3 linked regions of the Coturnix japonica genome follow. The protein of the gene in region 2 interacts with the protein of the main gene of each other region in a pairwise test. Links are inferred from orthologs where the notes say so. Each region holds a gene or a part of one and is shown on either strand. Other genes may lie near its edges. The genes, in order: DHX30, YTHDF1 and PRRC2B.

Evidence for each region.
Region 1: the proteins of YTHDF1 (region 2) and DHX30 interact in a two-hybrid assay, tested with the Homo sapiens proteins (2 studies listed by BioGRID, with this or other methods). The link is inferred for Coturnix japonica from reciprocal best matches to the Homo sapiens genes YTHDF1 and DHX30.
Region 3: the proteins of YTHDF1 (region 2) and PRRC2B interact in a two-hybrid assay, tested with the Homo sapiens proteins (2 studies listed by BioGRID, with this or other methods). The link is inferred for Coturnix japonica from reciprocal best matches to the Homo sapiens genes YTHDF1 and PRRC2B.

What each region holds. Positions count from the first base shown.
Region 1 is NC_029517.1:676,974-681,723, forward strand, and holds part of DHX30 (ATP-dependent RNA helicase DHX30), read right to left. Parts: coding exon 4,038-4,750; intron 748-4,037; coding exon 669-747; intron 1-668.
Region 2 is NC_029535.1:7,815,211-7,820,607, reverse strand, and holds the start of YTHDF1 (YTH domain-containing family protein 1), read left to right. Parts: upstream 1-1,973; 5' UTR 1,974-2,287; coding exon 2,288-2,314; intron 2,315-2,644; coding exon 2,645-2,669; intron 2,670-4,063; coding exon 4,064-4,143; intron 4,144-5,397.
Region 3 is NC_029532.1:4,747,562-4,752,787, reverse strand, and holds the start of PRRC2B (protein PRRC2B), read right to left. Parts: upstream 3,289-5,226; 5' UTR 3,155-3,288; exon of another isoform or gene 3,107-3,154; intron 1-3,106.

The sequences.
Region 1 (4,750 bases), on a different chromosome or scaffold from region 2:
GGCTGTGATACCCACTGCCAGCTGATCACTACGGAAACTGCCATCATACTTCTGGACAAATGCAGTCACAGCCATTAGGGCAGACTGTCCCAAGGACACGCTCCTCTGCACAGCACATACCTGCTGTGCTGCACCCAGCTCTGAACTCATGGGGCAGAGTTTAAAACCAAAAAGGGTTTTAAACAGACAAGGCCAGCTGCACTCTAGGAGTGAATAGCTTCTGTCAGCTTTGAAACATGAAAGCGCTTAAAAGTCATCTTAGAATACAGCCTCCTTCATCACACCAACACCTCCCAGGGAACGGCACTTAGTGGGGATGGTTCTCCAGCACAGGATTGGAAACAAACAGTGCAGCACAGGCTGGTGCACAAACCAGTCCAGCACTTGAGCCCAGCAACAGCTGTACCTCAGGACACAACGACTGAGACACACCAGCACAGGAACCTGCATCCAACCCTGCTTCCAGATACCCTTCTGGACTCCAGAGATAAACCTGAGCAACCGCTCTGAGCACTGCTCACTTCCCCTGGCTGAGGCAGGAGATCAGGGTGGTCCTGCAGAACTCAGCACAGGATTTCCTATGCCAGGGGTCTGGGTTCTGTAAATACCACTTTTTGTTTTCCCCCCTCCCGAAAAAGTAAAGGGGAGGAGGGCAAAGCAGAACCTACCTGGTTCTCCATGGGCGTCAATCTGGAGTACAAGGTCGGTGATCAGATCAAGATCAAGGACACATTCATCATCTGATTGCTAGATAAAACAGTAAGCACAGCAAGGTAACGTTTTGATACAGGTACTATGGGAGCTGGCAGGAGGAGTGCCATCCTAGCTCTGCTCTTTGTCATCATGCGATGGCTGAGCTGAGATATGGAGAAGACTGGCAGCAGAGCTACTAACCCTGGATTCTAGGAGAGCAGACTGCAGGCTGCTCGAGGAACTGGTTAGTAATGGGGGTGGGGGTCTACCATTGGTGGTGACATTTGCAAATCCATCTTTTAAGAGTGCAGGAACAGGCAATTCCAGCATGTCAGAAGCCAAGCAAGGAAGCAGAAGGCAGCGTGGCTGAAGAGGGAGCTCCTCCTAGAACTCAGGCAGAAAAGCAAAGCGTATGAGCTTGGTAGGTCAGGGCTATACAGGACTGCAGAGACGCCCTCTGCCTTCCCAAGGAGAAATTCACATGGCCAAACTCAGAACTGAAGCTGACACGTTGAGATGGACGATAAAAAAGAAGTGGTAGATTTTTTGTTTGGTTGGTTTTTACTTGATAACGTTGGCCATCAAGCAGGGGTGAAAGCAAAGCAGACATTTAATGGCTTCTTCGCCTCCACCTTAACACCAACCATGGGTTGGAGCACCACAACCTGGGAGTGATAAGCTCCCAGCTGACTCGATTTACTGCTGCAGCTGAATGCACCCTAGTCTATGGACTCCAATGGGATTCATCCCAGGGTCCTGAAAGACCCCTCTCAGTTATCTGCTGACAGCCACAGGAATCTGCTCAATTCTGGTCAATTGAAAGCTTATGTTATTCTAATCTTCAAGAAGGGCAAGAAAGATGATGGTGGTAATCAGTACCTGGTCAACTTCTGAAGACTGTTCTAGGAGCTGGTGATAAAATACTTGCAAGATACCATTAGTCAAGACCAACACGGGTTCACAGCAGACCAGCCATGCCTTACTAGCTTGATGTCCTTTTATGACAAGGCTCCACTGCCTTTTCACCCACTGGGTTTGGGCTATGGGGATTCCAGCAAAGCTTCTGATAATCCCACAGTATCCTTCTAGACAAAATGTCCGGCACGCAGCCAGACACACACAGACATGATGGTGAGGATGGGCTGATGGGCCAGGCTCAAAGGGTTCTAGGGCATGCGGCAACATCAGGCCCGCGGCCAGCAGCCAGGTTCTACAGGCTCAATTTTAGGGCCAGTTCTCTTCACTACTTCAATCAATGACTTGGACACAAGAGCTGAGTGCACTGTGTACATTTCTGGATGATATTGAACTGGGAAGAGCCACTGATTCCCTTGAGGGTAGAGATGCCTCGCACAGCAGTCTTGGTAGAGTGCTGGGCAACCACCAACCACATGAAATTAACTAAGAGCAAACAACAAATTCTGCAGCAGGGATGGTGTAATCCTGGATATACACAGAGGCTGGGGACAAGTGGCTGGATTGCAGCCCCACAAAAGGGACTGAAGGGTTCTGCTTAACAATAAGCTTAATATGAGGGATATTAATATGAGGGATGACCTCACTGCTGTCTGCAGCTTCCTCATGATGGGGAGCAGAGAAGGAGCTGCTGACACTTGGTGGGCAGGATGCAAGGGAATGACTCCCAGCTGTGTCAGGCAAGGATCAGGATGGATATCAGAAAAGAATTCTCCACCGAAAAGGTGGTTGGGCACTGGGACAGGCTGCCCAGGGAAGTGGTCACAGCCCCACATTTATAAGGAGTTCAAGAAGCATTTGGACAACACTCTCACATCTACAGTCCAAATCTTGGGCTGCCCAGTGTGGAGACAGGATTTAGACTGAACATCAATGTGGGTTCTTCCAATTCTGGATACTCTGTGATTCCAGGAGGACACGTGCAGAGGAATAAGCAGCGATCTGGTTAGAAAGGTGCACAAACTCACAAAGCATCTTCTGGAGAGAGCAATTGCCTGTAGCTGGATGGCCTCCCCAGGACCAGGAACCTCAGGAGTCTGGTCTGGCTCCATCTGTCCCGTGCTCCAGTCACAGCTGCTGCCAGCTTCCTCTGCTGTGCTGTGAAGATGCAGCCTCTATCCTGCTCTCCAGACCTGGAAGCTATCTGACCCTTGGGAACCTCTAATGAAGTAGCAAAACTTAGATGAAATTTCAGGGGCCAGAACTGTGCCACGTGTGCCCTAAGCCTTCAAACCCACCAGACACAGAACAGCAGCTTTTATGCCTCAGTAATTTGGAACAAGTGTGTCAGGCCAGCCTAAAAGGTAAAAAAAACCAGCCACAACAGAAACAGGAAGGTGGCCCTGAATGCAACAGGGCACCCTCAGCAAATCTGCTGATGACACAAAGGTAGGAGATGTGGCTGATACACCAAATGGCTGTTCAGACACAGAGGAACTTCTACAGGTGGCCAGAAACCTCCCGTGGTTCAGAAAGAAGAAAGGCCAGGAAGCAGAGCCATGGAGCTACCACAGAGAGAAGAGGGAAGGGCCTTGAGGATGATGAAGGGTCTGAGAGGTACCTTAACCCATATAATTATTCAGTGAGGGGGAATGAAGAAGAGGGAGCCAGGCTCTTCTTGGCAGCGCCCACTGACAGGGCAAGAGACAACAGCCACAAATAAGATGCAGAAAATTCTGTTTAAGCATAGAAAAATCCATCTTTACTCAGGAGAGACTGAATACTGGAGAAGCTGCAAAGTCTCTGCCCTTGGAGATACTCAAAAGCTTCTCCTGAGCAGCCTGCTTGGGCTGACCATGCTCTGAGCAGGGGGGCTGGCCTAGATGAACCTGCAGGTCTTCCAACCTCAACCATTCTGTGATTCCACGACCTGCCACTGAAGTGAGATTACCCACAGCACACATCTGGAAGCACTCTCCAAAATAATAACATAGAGCAGTCAGACTAATTGCAAAAGGTGGCCATGGAGGAATCAAGTCATGCAAGACGACGAGTGCCCGGATAACAAGGCTGCTCCAAGGCACGTCTGAGCCATCTGAATCTTGCACTAGACTTGCATGCTGCATATACGTAAGCACACTGAGCTGTTAGCTTACTCAAACATAAATACACTTCATGCTGAAGAGGGGAAAAATGCAACTTAAACCCAAATATGAAGCTGTCTTTACCCAAAACTTAACTAAAACACAAGGGATGCTAAGCCAAATTTAGCTCATGGGTGTTGACTTGGAATGAAAGCTAAGCAAACACTGCTAACGGACAACAGGAAAGAGGGACCAGATCCAGGCCCAAACTCTCCCCCTGCTGATACGCCAGAAGCCAGTCCCTTGTCCAGTGGGAACAGCTTCAACACCACACTGCACACCCACCTTTATTTCATAGTGCCGGTGTCGGTGCCTACCCAGCTTGGCCAGGATCTCCTCCAGGTAGTACTCCTTCACTGGGTACATGAAGCCCGGCACTTTGACCACAGGGCAATCCCCAAAGTAATGTGAGAAACGCTGATTGTCTCCTGTGGCGCTCATCAAGACCAGGCGCAGGTCGGGGTTGAGCTTCTGGATGCCTTTGAGCAGGATGAGCAGGAAATCCGTGTTGACATCTCGCTCGTGGACCTCATCGACCACGACGTGGCTGACACCCTCCAGACTGGGGTTTCCCTGCAGCTTGCGCAGCAGGATGCCCACGGTGCAGAAGAGCAGGGCTCCTCCCCGGGCAGGGGGTTTGCTCTCCAGCCGCACCTGGTAGCCCACGTTCTTCCTCATGTTGGGACCCAACTCCTGTGCCACACGCTGGGCCACTGAGATGGCGCTGATCCTCCTGGGCTGGGTGATGACGACGTTGCAGCGGGCGCCGCGGCCCTCCAGGATGTAATGTTCCAGCAGGAGCTGAGGGATCCTTGTGGTTTTCCCACAGCCCGTATCTCCTGCTATCACAACCACAGGGTTCTGCTCAATGGCTGACAGGATGGTGTCCTTGTGAGGATCCACCGGCAGCGGGTGGCTCTCCTGCCATGAGGATCCTCTCCTTTTCCAGAGGGCCAGCAGGTTCTGACTGAGGCGCACCTCCTCTGCTTCCAGCATAG
Region 2 (5,397 bases):
TGAAACGTTTAAAAATCACATAGGTGTTAATGAAAACCCCTTGAGCAGTAGGGGGCAGTACTTAGATACAAAAGTTACAGAACTGGAACACGTGGAACTGGTTCTCTTTAATTTGTCCGTAATGAATTTACATGTAATTGCACATTCTCTCCTGCTCCACGTGTCCTGTTCTTGAAGAATACACTGTCAAAATGTAAAGTACAGAATGTACCAAATCCCTCTGACAAAGGTTGTGTGAGGGCTCTATTAATGGGTTGTTGCAAATCACCTGTCCACAGGTAAGAATCATTACCTGTTTCCAGGAGGTATTTTACAAGCTATGAGCTGGCCTTCTACTGCTTCTAACCAACCTTCTTCTAAATGTGACCTCGGGAAGTGTTGGCAACATGGGAGGCTCCTCAATCTGCCTTCTTCATGACCACACCTGGGTGTTAGCAGTCCGAAGGCAGAAGAGTCAGGGAAGCTGTTACAGTAGGCTTAAAAAATCTGACTGTGGCACATGGAAGGTGGTACTGATGCACTGCAGTGTTGTGGTAGAGGTGTAATGAGTTGCTTAGCCTTTGTGACTACATTGCTTCTAGGGAAAGACCATGGGGTGATGGTGACTGGAGACACAGTTCCATGTTTGCTTTGCTCCAAGGGCGTATTCAATAATGTGTTGTATGCTACTAATATTTATCTTTGCTAGTATCAGGCTGATTTGGAATGAAAGTAATCAGTAAATGCAAGGGTTAAAGTATAGCTGGAGACAGCATGACAAATGTTCTTAAAGTTACCAGGAAGAAGCAACTCACATTTTCTTAATGCAAAAGTAAATTCTATATATAAATATTCACATAACCCACAAACATGGATGTAGGCATATACATACACCTGACATACTTTGTCTTTTAATCTAAAATAATAGGTAGAGTCTAACAGCTTTAGTTCACTGTACCTTGGGATGTTGAAACACAGTACTCACATGCTGCCTACATATATTCATGGCTAAGATGATTCATAGTCATACAGTTTCTATATCAAGCCTAGTGAACATATACAGTCACATACCCTTCAAAGCAGTGCTCAGAAGCATCCAGGTCTATCCTTTTCTTCCTTCCTTCTTACAGATGTTCCACTCTCATGCCATGCTGTTTGCTTTTTCACACTCGTTACTGAAGCAATGTCCTTAAATGGCCTTTCTGGTGCATGCAGGGATTCTTGGGAGCACAGATTTACCTACTTTACACATTATACATATGGAGGATCTCATTCTGATCCATGTTTTTTTTTTTCTCTTCCATCTCAGATGTGCTTATATCGTGTGTATCTGGCAACTGTAAGTGGTACATTCACATCATGAAACCTACACAAAAAGTACGTTTGAAGGCAACGGAGACACCAAACTAAATCACTGCAGAACTAAATCACTGCAGGCATTTTGACAGTCACAAGGAAACAAACACACACAAAACAGGCTTTTGGCCAAATTAAGGACATCCCCGTCCTATAAACAGTTGCGGGGTGACCTCATAGCAGCCTTTCAATACCTGAAGGGAACTTACACCCAGGAGGGGAGGAAACTCTTGGAAAGGGCTGACAATAGCAGGACACGGGGAAATGGTTTGAAGTTAAAAGAGGGAAGATTTAGGTTGGATGTTAGGGGGAAGTTCTTCACTAGGAGAGTGGTTAGGCCCTGGAACAGGCTGCCCAGGGAGGTTGTGGATGCCCCGTCCTTGGAGGTGTTCAAGGCCAGGTTGGACGGGGCCCTGGGCAACCTGATGTAGTAAAGGTGTATGTTTGGTGGCCCTGCCAGGCAGGGGGGTTGGAACTACATGATCCTTGAGGTCCCTTCCAACCCGACTCATTCTGTGTGACTGTGATTCTGTAATACCGACATGGAGCCCATCCCGCCTCTCCCTCCCGCCCCACCACTTTGCGCATGCGCCACAGGTGCGGCCCCGCTCCGCGCGCCTTCCCCGCTCTCCCGGCGTGCCCCGCGCTCAGGCCCTGACGTCACCTCAGCCGGCCGCCCGCCGCCATTGGAGTTGGCGGTTCGGGCTCCGTCCCTCACATCGGCCCGGCCCGGAGGCATGTGAAGGGACGGGGCTGGCAGGGCACGGCGAGACACGAGACTCGGTGCCGGCCTATCGTCCCCCGGATCCCCCTTGAGGAGAAGCCGAGCTGCGCCGTGCGGGCCCCTTTCCCCTCCCCCTCGGCCCATTCCCTTCCCCGGCCCTGTGCACTGAGGCGCCGCCGCCTCCCTCCCGGCCTGTCTGCTGAACCACGGCGGCCCTGTACATGAATTATGTCTGCCACAAGCGTTGACCCTCAGGTAAGTGGTGCTGGGCCGGGGCTGGCCCTGCTGATCTGGGCGAGTTCAGGCCTGGATCGCTCTCAGTACCTTCGCCTGAGGGCACAGCGAGCTGCTATGGCCGTGTGGGGTGTTTATGGGGCTGGATGGGCCTTGAAAGCTGCTCCTCGAGAGCTCAGACAGCTCCCATTGCCTTACAGCTGTTTCCTATGAGATCCCCCCCATCCCTCCCCATGAGATGTGTGTCGATGTGAACGTTTTCCTAACATCAGTTTCTTTGTTTCCCTTCTTTCTGTTTGTTTGTGTTGGTTTTTTTTTCCTGCACCCGATCGTGTGCTGTGGATTTTCCAGAGACCGAAAGGACAGGATAATAAAGGTGAGTATCACGCTGAGATCTTGCTGTTGAAGCAGCCCCTGCAGGAGATGAGCTCTGCAGGTACCTGTGGGTTTAGCAGCCCCTGTGGGCAACGTGTGGAACAAAGGAAGTTGTGCTTTGTTTCAGAGATGTATAAACTGTTATTTACACGGTCTTGAGTTCATCCCACTTATTGCTATGGAGTTTACAGTGGGAAGAAATGTGAGATCATGCCCAGCGTGCTTATAGTCTCCTCATTTCCTTTGGAATAACAAAAAACTATGAGGGTATCTGTTCAGTGTATGAGTATTTGTACGTAGTTTGCATAGTCGTTTCCTGCTATACAAATACAGTTCCATGACTGTACTGCTGTTGGCTCTACAGTTACGATCTGTGAGAAATGAGCCTATGAACTTAATTATATTTATTTAAAATTCCTTAAATAATTAACTGCTTGAGATAATAAACTTTTTATGTCAATATCCGTGCTCCATCTGATTTCTGATTTCAGCAAATCATTCAAGAAACCGATTCTATGATCACTATGTCATTGTATAAATGTTCAGCTTTAGAGACTAGCAGTATCTTCTACTCAAATGCTTTCCCATTTATCATAACCTGCCTTAAAAATCTCTGCTCACAAGAAGTTTGGCCCTGTTTTCAATATTGGTGTACTCTTTTTTGCTTCCATTAACAATCTTTCCAGAGTTACAAGTTCCCAAACTTCCATGCTAAACACTTAAGTCTTGTGTGGCTTTACTTCACCTGTTTGATGGAACAGTAGCTAAATTTTCTCCTCACGTAATGTGGTGTTTGAGCTTCTTTCCTTAGCATTTAAAGTGACACATGAAATCATTTGGTGTAACCCAATACATTTTGCTTTTGTATAGCATTAAGTAATGGGTAAGTAGGCATTTGGGTGAGAGAAATATCTCTCTTACAGGCTTTAAAGATTGAAATTTGGATTAAAAATGGCAGAATATCGATGCACATAGCAGTCATTGTTTATAATTAAATGTAAGCCCACCTGATCTTCCTGTAGCTAACTTAACTTAGGCAATAAACACCACATGCTGGGAGAGCTGTGAATTAGTTTCTGAGAGTTCTAATTATGGACCCAAACATCTGATGTTTCCTAATTTATTGCTTATACAGAACTCCTGTATTTTTTGGCTCAGAGATGATTCACAGAGGTTGTGTATTCACTCGTTTGTAGGAAAGCTTGATTTTTAAACACAAACTCAGTTCTGTAAGCAGTTATACAAAGTAAAATCAGGGGACAAAAGTGATCTGTATGGCTTTAAGATGCTTCATGCTGTGAAGAAGTGTGGCTTTACCTAAAGTGCCATAAAGTGGAACTCTACTGAAACACTCCTAAGCCGTATCATAATGTCTTGTAACTTTTTTTTTCGTAGTACAAAATGGTTCATTACATCAAAAGGATACAGTTCACGACAACGATTTTGAGCCTTACCTTTCTGGGCAGTCAAATCAGGTTGGTGTGTTTTTCACTTTATTTTCTTTATCTTAAGCATGCTTTTGGCACCCAGCTCCATAGGATTGTGTTGTGGAAGCAAATTCCTTATAGGCATGGAAAAAGAAATGAGTAGCGTATTGTGTTACTTAATAATACAACTAGCCTTGTGCTCCCAAAGCTAATATTACCCTGTGTATCCAGATAGCAACCAGTGAAAACTACATTAATGCTCCAAGTAGTGCCTACTGATTGCTCCTCATGTTGCAGGTTATTGATAGGGTTGGACTGTGACAACCTACTTGATCTTGCAGTTCTTTGATAGATGAGTTGCACGTGGGAGTCTGGAGTTGCTGATTTTGGGGTCTCACAGTTCATCTTTTCAGTAATCCTAGGGGTTAATATTGTTGAAATTTGGATATTGCTTTTAAGAAGAAATGGCAGATGTCCCGCTTGCTTTTCTCACTTCAACAAATATTGCTCTTCCATCCTCTGAAATATCTCAGGTCTGAAAAACATACTGTTTTAAAGGTAACGAACACCCTGTAATGCAAATTCTGAATAAAACAGTTCATTATACTGTACGTTAAGTGACCATCCAGGACTTAAATACCACTGTAGTCATAAAAATCTTCTAACTGAAGTAGTTTCTGACTTAACTTTCAATCTTTTTAAAGTGAATGAAATGTTTAGAAACTTTAAAGCCTTGGCAGAGGTTCATCTATTATTTGTTTTAAAAGTGCAGTTCAGCCTGAAGCTGATAGATGCCACTGTCAGTGTTGGTGACGTTGCTGAACTTGCTGGCAAGAAGAACCTCTGTGTGCTTAAAAGAAAGATGTAGGTACCTACATACATGAAAGCATAACTCCATTGACTCTTTGCTGCTGCTGCAACAAGAAGTTGGTGTGCTGCAAGAGATAACTCTGTAGGTGATCTTAATAGTTCTAATTGGAAAGTGACAGTAGCATTAAATAGGACTCTGATTTTATAATACTTGGAGAAATGATTCCTTCCCTAATTTATACAATGGTTGTTTAAAAAGAAATAACTAGGAAATGGTCAAGGATAAATCTGTTGAAATGAATGTGACTGCTGCTGTGGTGAAGGATCTCGACAGGGTTTCTCTTACATGCTCTGGCATAGTGCCAGTCAAATAGATTGAATGCTTTGTAAAGATGCTTGCTGAAACTTCACAGACAGCGGCTACAGGGGGTGAGTCTCAATAATTGCCTGGAGTCCTTTAGCAGAAGTATTGCAGAACAAAACACCTTTCTC
Region 3 (5,226 bases), on a different chromosome or scaffold from region 2:
CACTCATGAGCACAGCAAGGAGCAACACAAAGTCCTGGGCCAGGGGAACTCTGGAGGTGCAGGCTGTGCTGGGAGAACACTGCCAACTCCATACATTGCTTTTACTACAGCAGGATCACAGCCATCACCAGAAGCAACATTGTGCTCAGATGCAGAGCACTAACACGGTAGTAAAACTTGAATCTCATGAAAGCACTCCTAAATAATTGGCCATAAAGTTTTGGTTGCTAGGTGGGAGCTCAATTCTTGGGTTATTTAAGAAGATAAAACCATACTCTGTACTATTTCAACCATTAAGAAACATTTCTTGAGCATGCCCCTACTCCCCTGCCGGCTTTGCAGCCCACTCCAAACTCTGAACAAGAGCACACAAGGCTTTTGTACAGGGCTCCCAGCCCACACACAGGTAGGAACAGCTGAAGAACCCACCCCACTGCAGAACGCTTCCAAAAAAATACCACTATATTCCCACACAAAAAGTGCCTGTGGGAGGTGAAGTCCCAACACGAGCTCCTCAAACCTGCTTGGCTCAATGCAGCACCATTAACAGCAAGTGTGGTGTCTAAAACATCTAAACAGCAACCCAGGAAGGACTCTTCCACTAAACCCCTTCCAATAGGATGCCATCTGTGTGAACACCGCATTCTGCTCCTCTTTGTGCCACTCACCTGAACTTCAAAGGCTATCAAGGATGCTCCCAGCACCTAACCCAAGCCCTCTGTGCATTTCAAGTACTGCACTGCAATAGCATAGTCTTTTTGGCCATATCCAAGCATACCATTAAGCAAGCCCTCAGTTGCTTGCCCTTGTGTTTCCTTTTTAAGCCTCCATACTTTAGTCTGGCCTCCTCTTTCACTTTTGCCTATTCCAAATCCTGCCATTACTTCTTCCACTGCAACCAAAAGTGCTTCCAATAGTCCTCCATAAATTAACACCTACGGTCCCTTTAGATGGTTGGACTCCATGATCTTGGAATGCGTTTTCCAATCTAGATTCTAATTCAGAAAGATGCAACAGAGAGCTCTCATCCCTTCCAGCTCAATGTAGGTGCTCAGTACCAGGCACTGAACACATACTGTGACCCCATTCAGAATGGGGCACACACCTCTTAACACCCCCAAACATCCCCCTGTCCTCACAGAGCCCACAGCACATCAAGCTTCCATACAAACCAAATGCCAGACAAGGAGCGCTGCAGTGCTACCACACCAGCTTCCAGCCCACCTGAGTTACAGCTCCAGTGCTTCCAAAGAAGAACACAAAGCACACAGGATTCACAGCTACACAGTTCCTAGCAGGTTTGTTCTCCTCTCTGTTAACAAGGAGAGAACTGCTTGTCCCCCAGCTTTTACCTGTTTGCAGCGCTTTCACCTCAATGCCTGATGATACCCGACTGCATTTCTTCTGTTCCAAGTGACAAACTAGTGATAAGGAGCTGAGAAATTATCGACCTATTAGGAGAATGAGTCAGTGCCACATGAAAAACAAAACCCACTTACAAGGTATGAATAGCAAGGAAAGCAAGAGTGATACTGAAACATCACAATCGTTGCCAGCTTGCAGAACACGGGAGGAACACAGTGAAGAAAAGGGAGGCTCAAACAAAACACAACGCCATTCCTTCCTTTAAGAGGCTGTTGGAGTAAATGAGCCTTTGAAGTTAGGCGCTACAGAAAGCTTTAATAGAGGGTTTTATTACAATGTCTCCGTAGAAGTTAAAACCTTCTATTAGGAACCTTTAGAAACATTAGTCAAGATTTATTAAAACCAAGACGTTTTTAAATCCTGCCTCTATTTCCCTGCATTTGGATGGGCTGCTTCCTTACTGTTCCCACTTCAGCTTGGGAAACTCCATCCGAAGTATGTGGTGAGCACCATATAATGCAGTTTCCAAGAGGTCAGATGGGAGAGGTGTTGTTTATCGTGCCCCCAAAATAGATTCTGCTAGCTAGGAAGAACCTCTTCCACCACAGCCCTGAGAGAAAGAGCATCACCCATAGACCCACAAGGATCTGAAGGATCCTGGGTGAACTCCTGATGGAACTGAGGCACACTTACTGTATTTCAATTCAGGTGAAAAACATGGGCAGGTATCTCAACAAGGTAAGTGCTAAGACAAGACAAAGCATTCCACATAAGCCTTGATTCAGTCCTGGAACAAGTGGGATTTCTTCCTTCTGGACTTATTGCAGCTGATGATGCAAAACTGCAACCTGCTTGCACTCACCACCCATTTCTAGAAACAGAATTTCTCAGGTCCTGAGCATTTCTTTATCACGTTATCATCCCCAATACCACTGACAAAGACATGAATGTTCAACAAGCCCACCCCGATCAGACCATCCGAGCCCTTCTGACGTTCACAGGACAAAAACAACAACAAGAAACCCGCAGAGCAAATCAAAGCAACTTTCCTAAGGAGACCCACAACTCCCAGACCTGGTCAGGTTTGATTCCACAGACGAAGAGGTTTGTCGGTATTGATACAAAAAGCGCATATTACGCTTGCTCACATCCACAGCTGCTGAACAAACCCTGCACGGCTCTGAACGCACCCAGGGCCCATCTCAGAGCCACCCCACAGCAGCCACGCTCCAAGAACCCAAAGCACCTTTACAAACCCACCCACAACTCCCCGAGCACCAGCACCAACTCTCTCATTCCAAACCCCCCATCCCCCCTTCTCACCAAGCAACATTTCAGCTCTCCCAATAACCCTTTCACAGTCTCCCGCACCACAACAAAACAACCCAGAGCCTTCTGATTGCCCCCCCATCGCAGCCTCCCCCTCCTTGTTTTGTCGAGACGAACACAACAGCGCGACGAAAATATCTTTGTGTCACACCCGATGAACCAAACCAGCCGCCATCCTCACGGCCTCCCCCCAGCTCGGGCAGCCCCCAGCCCCGCGGCCTAAGCAGCCCCACGGCCCGGCCAGGCCCCGCAGCCTCACAGCGGGGGCGGCTCGAGGACAATGAAGCGGCTCCAGGCCCGGGGTGCCGCAGCCGCTGGGCCCCGGCTCCATTTTAACGCTGCCTCGTCCCACCTTCCCTCACCCTCCCCTCCCTCCTCCTCCTTCTCCTCCACCCCCCCCGTTCCCACTCACCGCCCCGAACATCCACGGCCGCCGCCGCCTCCGGCCCCCGATACCCACCTGCGGGGGTGGCTGGGAGCCGGGAGCGCCTGAGGAGCCGGGTATGGAGCAGTGATGGACGCGGGGCGAGGCGGATGGCGGCGGATTGCGCGGGGGGATGCGGGGCGATACGGGTTCTCGCTGCCGCTCCCTCCTCTCCCTCCTCCTCCTCCCCCGGCCCGGCCTGTCAATCCCGCGCGGGGGGAACCCGCCGCCTCCCTCCTCACAGCGCCGCCTGCAGAGCTCCGCCGGAACGGCGGCTGAGGGCCGAGCCAAGATGGCGGAGGAGGAGGGGAGAAAGGAGCCGAGCGTCCGCCTCAGCGGAGCGAGACGGGAACAAGCGGCCTCGTGAGGCCAACGGTCCCACCTCAGCCTTGAGGGCAGCGCAGTGTGAGCAGCATCCCTGGTTTGCTCTGAAAATGCTGTAGGAGTCGTCATGAAACACAGTTCTCTGTTCAAGGCATCTTAAACCTTGTGAGTTGTCATCTCAGGTTCCATTTCTCCCTTTATTTCTCCATCCCTGTCCTCTAACACTCTTCTAACACCTGAACCTCCCCCGGTTATATTCATCTCTCCCTATTGCATGCTCTGATGCACCAGCTGTGGATTTACAGCTGCTAAATACAGGTGCTTCACCTCAAAGCTGACACTAATGTCTCAAACCTCTCCTCAGTTTGAGCCATCTTGGAGATATCTTGGACAACCAAGCCTGCAAATATCATGAAGGAATACTGGATCACCCCCTTAAATACGTGTTATACACATGTGTGTGTGGGTATATCAATATATATATGGAATAAACACCTGGGCTCTTGCCCAGAGGAACTGACTTATTCCAAGTTCACCCTTTGATCCAGTGTGCTGATCATGAGAGATGTCAGATCTCAAACACACTGAGAGTGATACAGAGGGAAGAAATGCAGGAACCATTTTCAGGACCATATGTGTTGTTCCTACGGTTCATCTGCACAGCTACTGAAGTTGCCAGGAGCTGAGCTACCCAGAGATGCACCAGACTCATTGCCTGGCTGTTGGATCCCCTCTATCTCTCTATATCAAAATATCTCACTGCTTTGGCATCTCTTCCCACCTTCCCCATCACATATTGGGGTTATCAATACCCTCTACCTTCTCTCCTTACAGAGGAGCTCACCTTTCTCCCTGCTCTACTGACCTCCCACTGCACAGTATTGATGAGCCATAACAACAAACACCCAACAGCATTATTAGTTGCCCTTCAGAGGCTGGGCACTGTGGGATCCCCTTGCTTTCAGTGACTCATGCAGCCACCTACAACCCAAGCCACTGGCAGGTGACTCACAGACTTGTCCAGGTCAGCGCTATGCACACCTGCTGCTGTAATAAGCAGTTCTCCCAAGGTCTCTGGTGTATCTCCAAGGCAACGATCCAAGGCCAAGGGAATTGATGTGCCAATTAAAGAAAACGCTCGTGCAACCTGTTGTGGAGATCAAAAGGACGCAGTAAGCAAATGAAAGACAATTCCACATTCATTATCATGTGTGTACGCTGCGGCTCCTGCAAACTGATGGCTTCTCCAGCATGCTGAGGCAGCTCCATGGAGCTTTGTCCAGTCTTATGGCACAGGACTGCACTGGGAATGGGCTTCTTTGTATAATCTAAACAGTGAAAAGCCACCACCTGTTCCCATCACAGAAAAGAGTGTCACCAACACAGCTTGGTTTGTGGGGAGGCCACAAAAGCCTTGTCATGAAGTGACAAATTCCTGTGCCATTCTAGAAGTGTCCCGCGGCGCTTTTCACCTGCCCGTGTATAAATCAGAACTGGTTTCACTGGTGGAATTAGACCCACGGCAGATGGCAGTGAGTAGGGTGAGGTAGAAATCAGCAAACAGGTTTTGCCAGGTTGAAGCTCAGTGCACAGCTCTGTGCAGGATCCGTTCTGCTGCCCACTCTGATTTCTGACCTCTTCCAGAGAGCTGAGTGAATTTCCCCCAGACATGAGAGTCAAATTCAACCCCCTGCTTCCTCTTCCCAAGATTAATTACAACTGAATGCAGGAACCCTGCTGTGTGCTTCATTCTTCCACTAATTAAGAATCCTGTCAAATAGAAA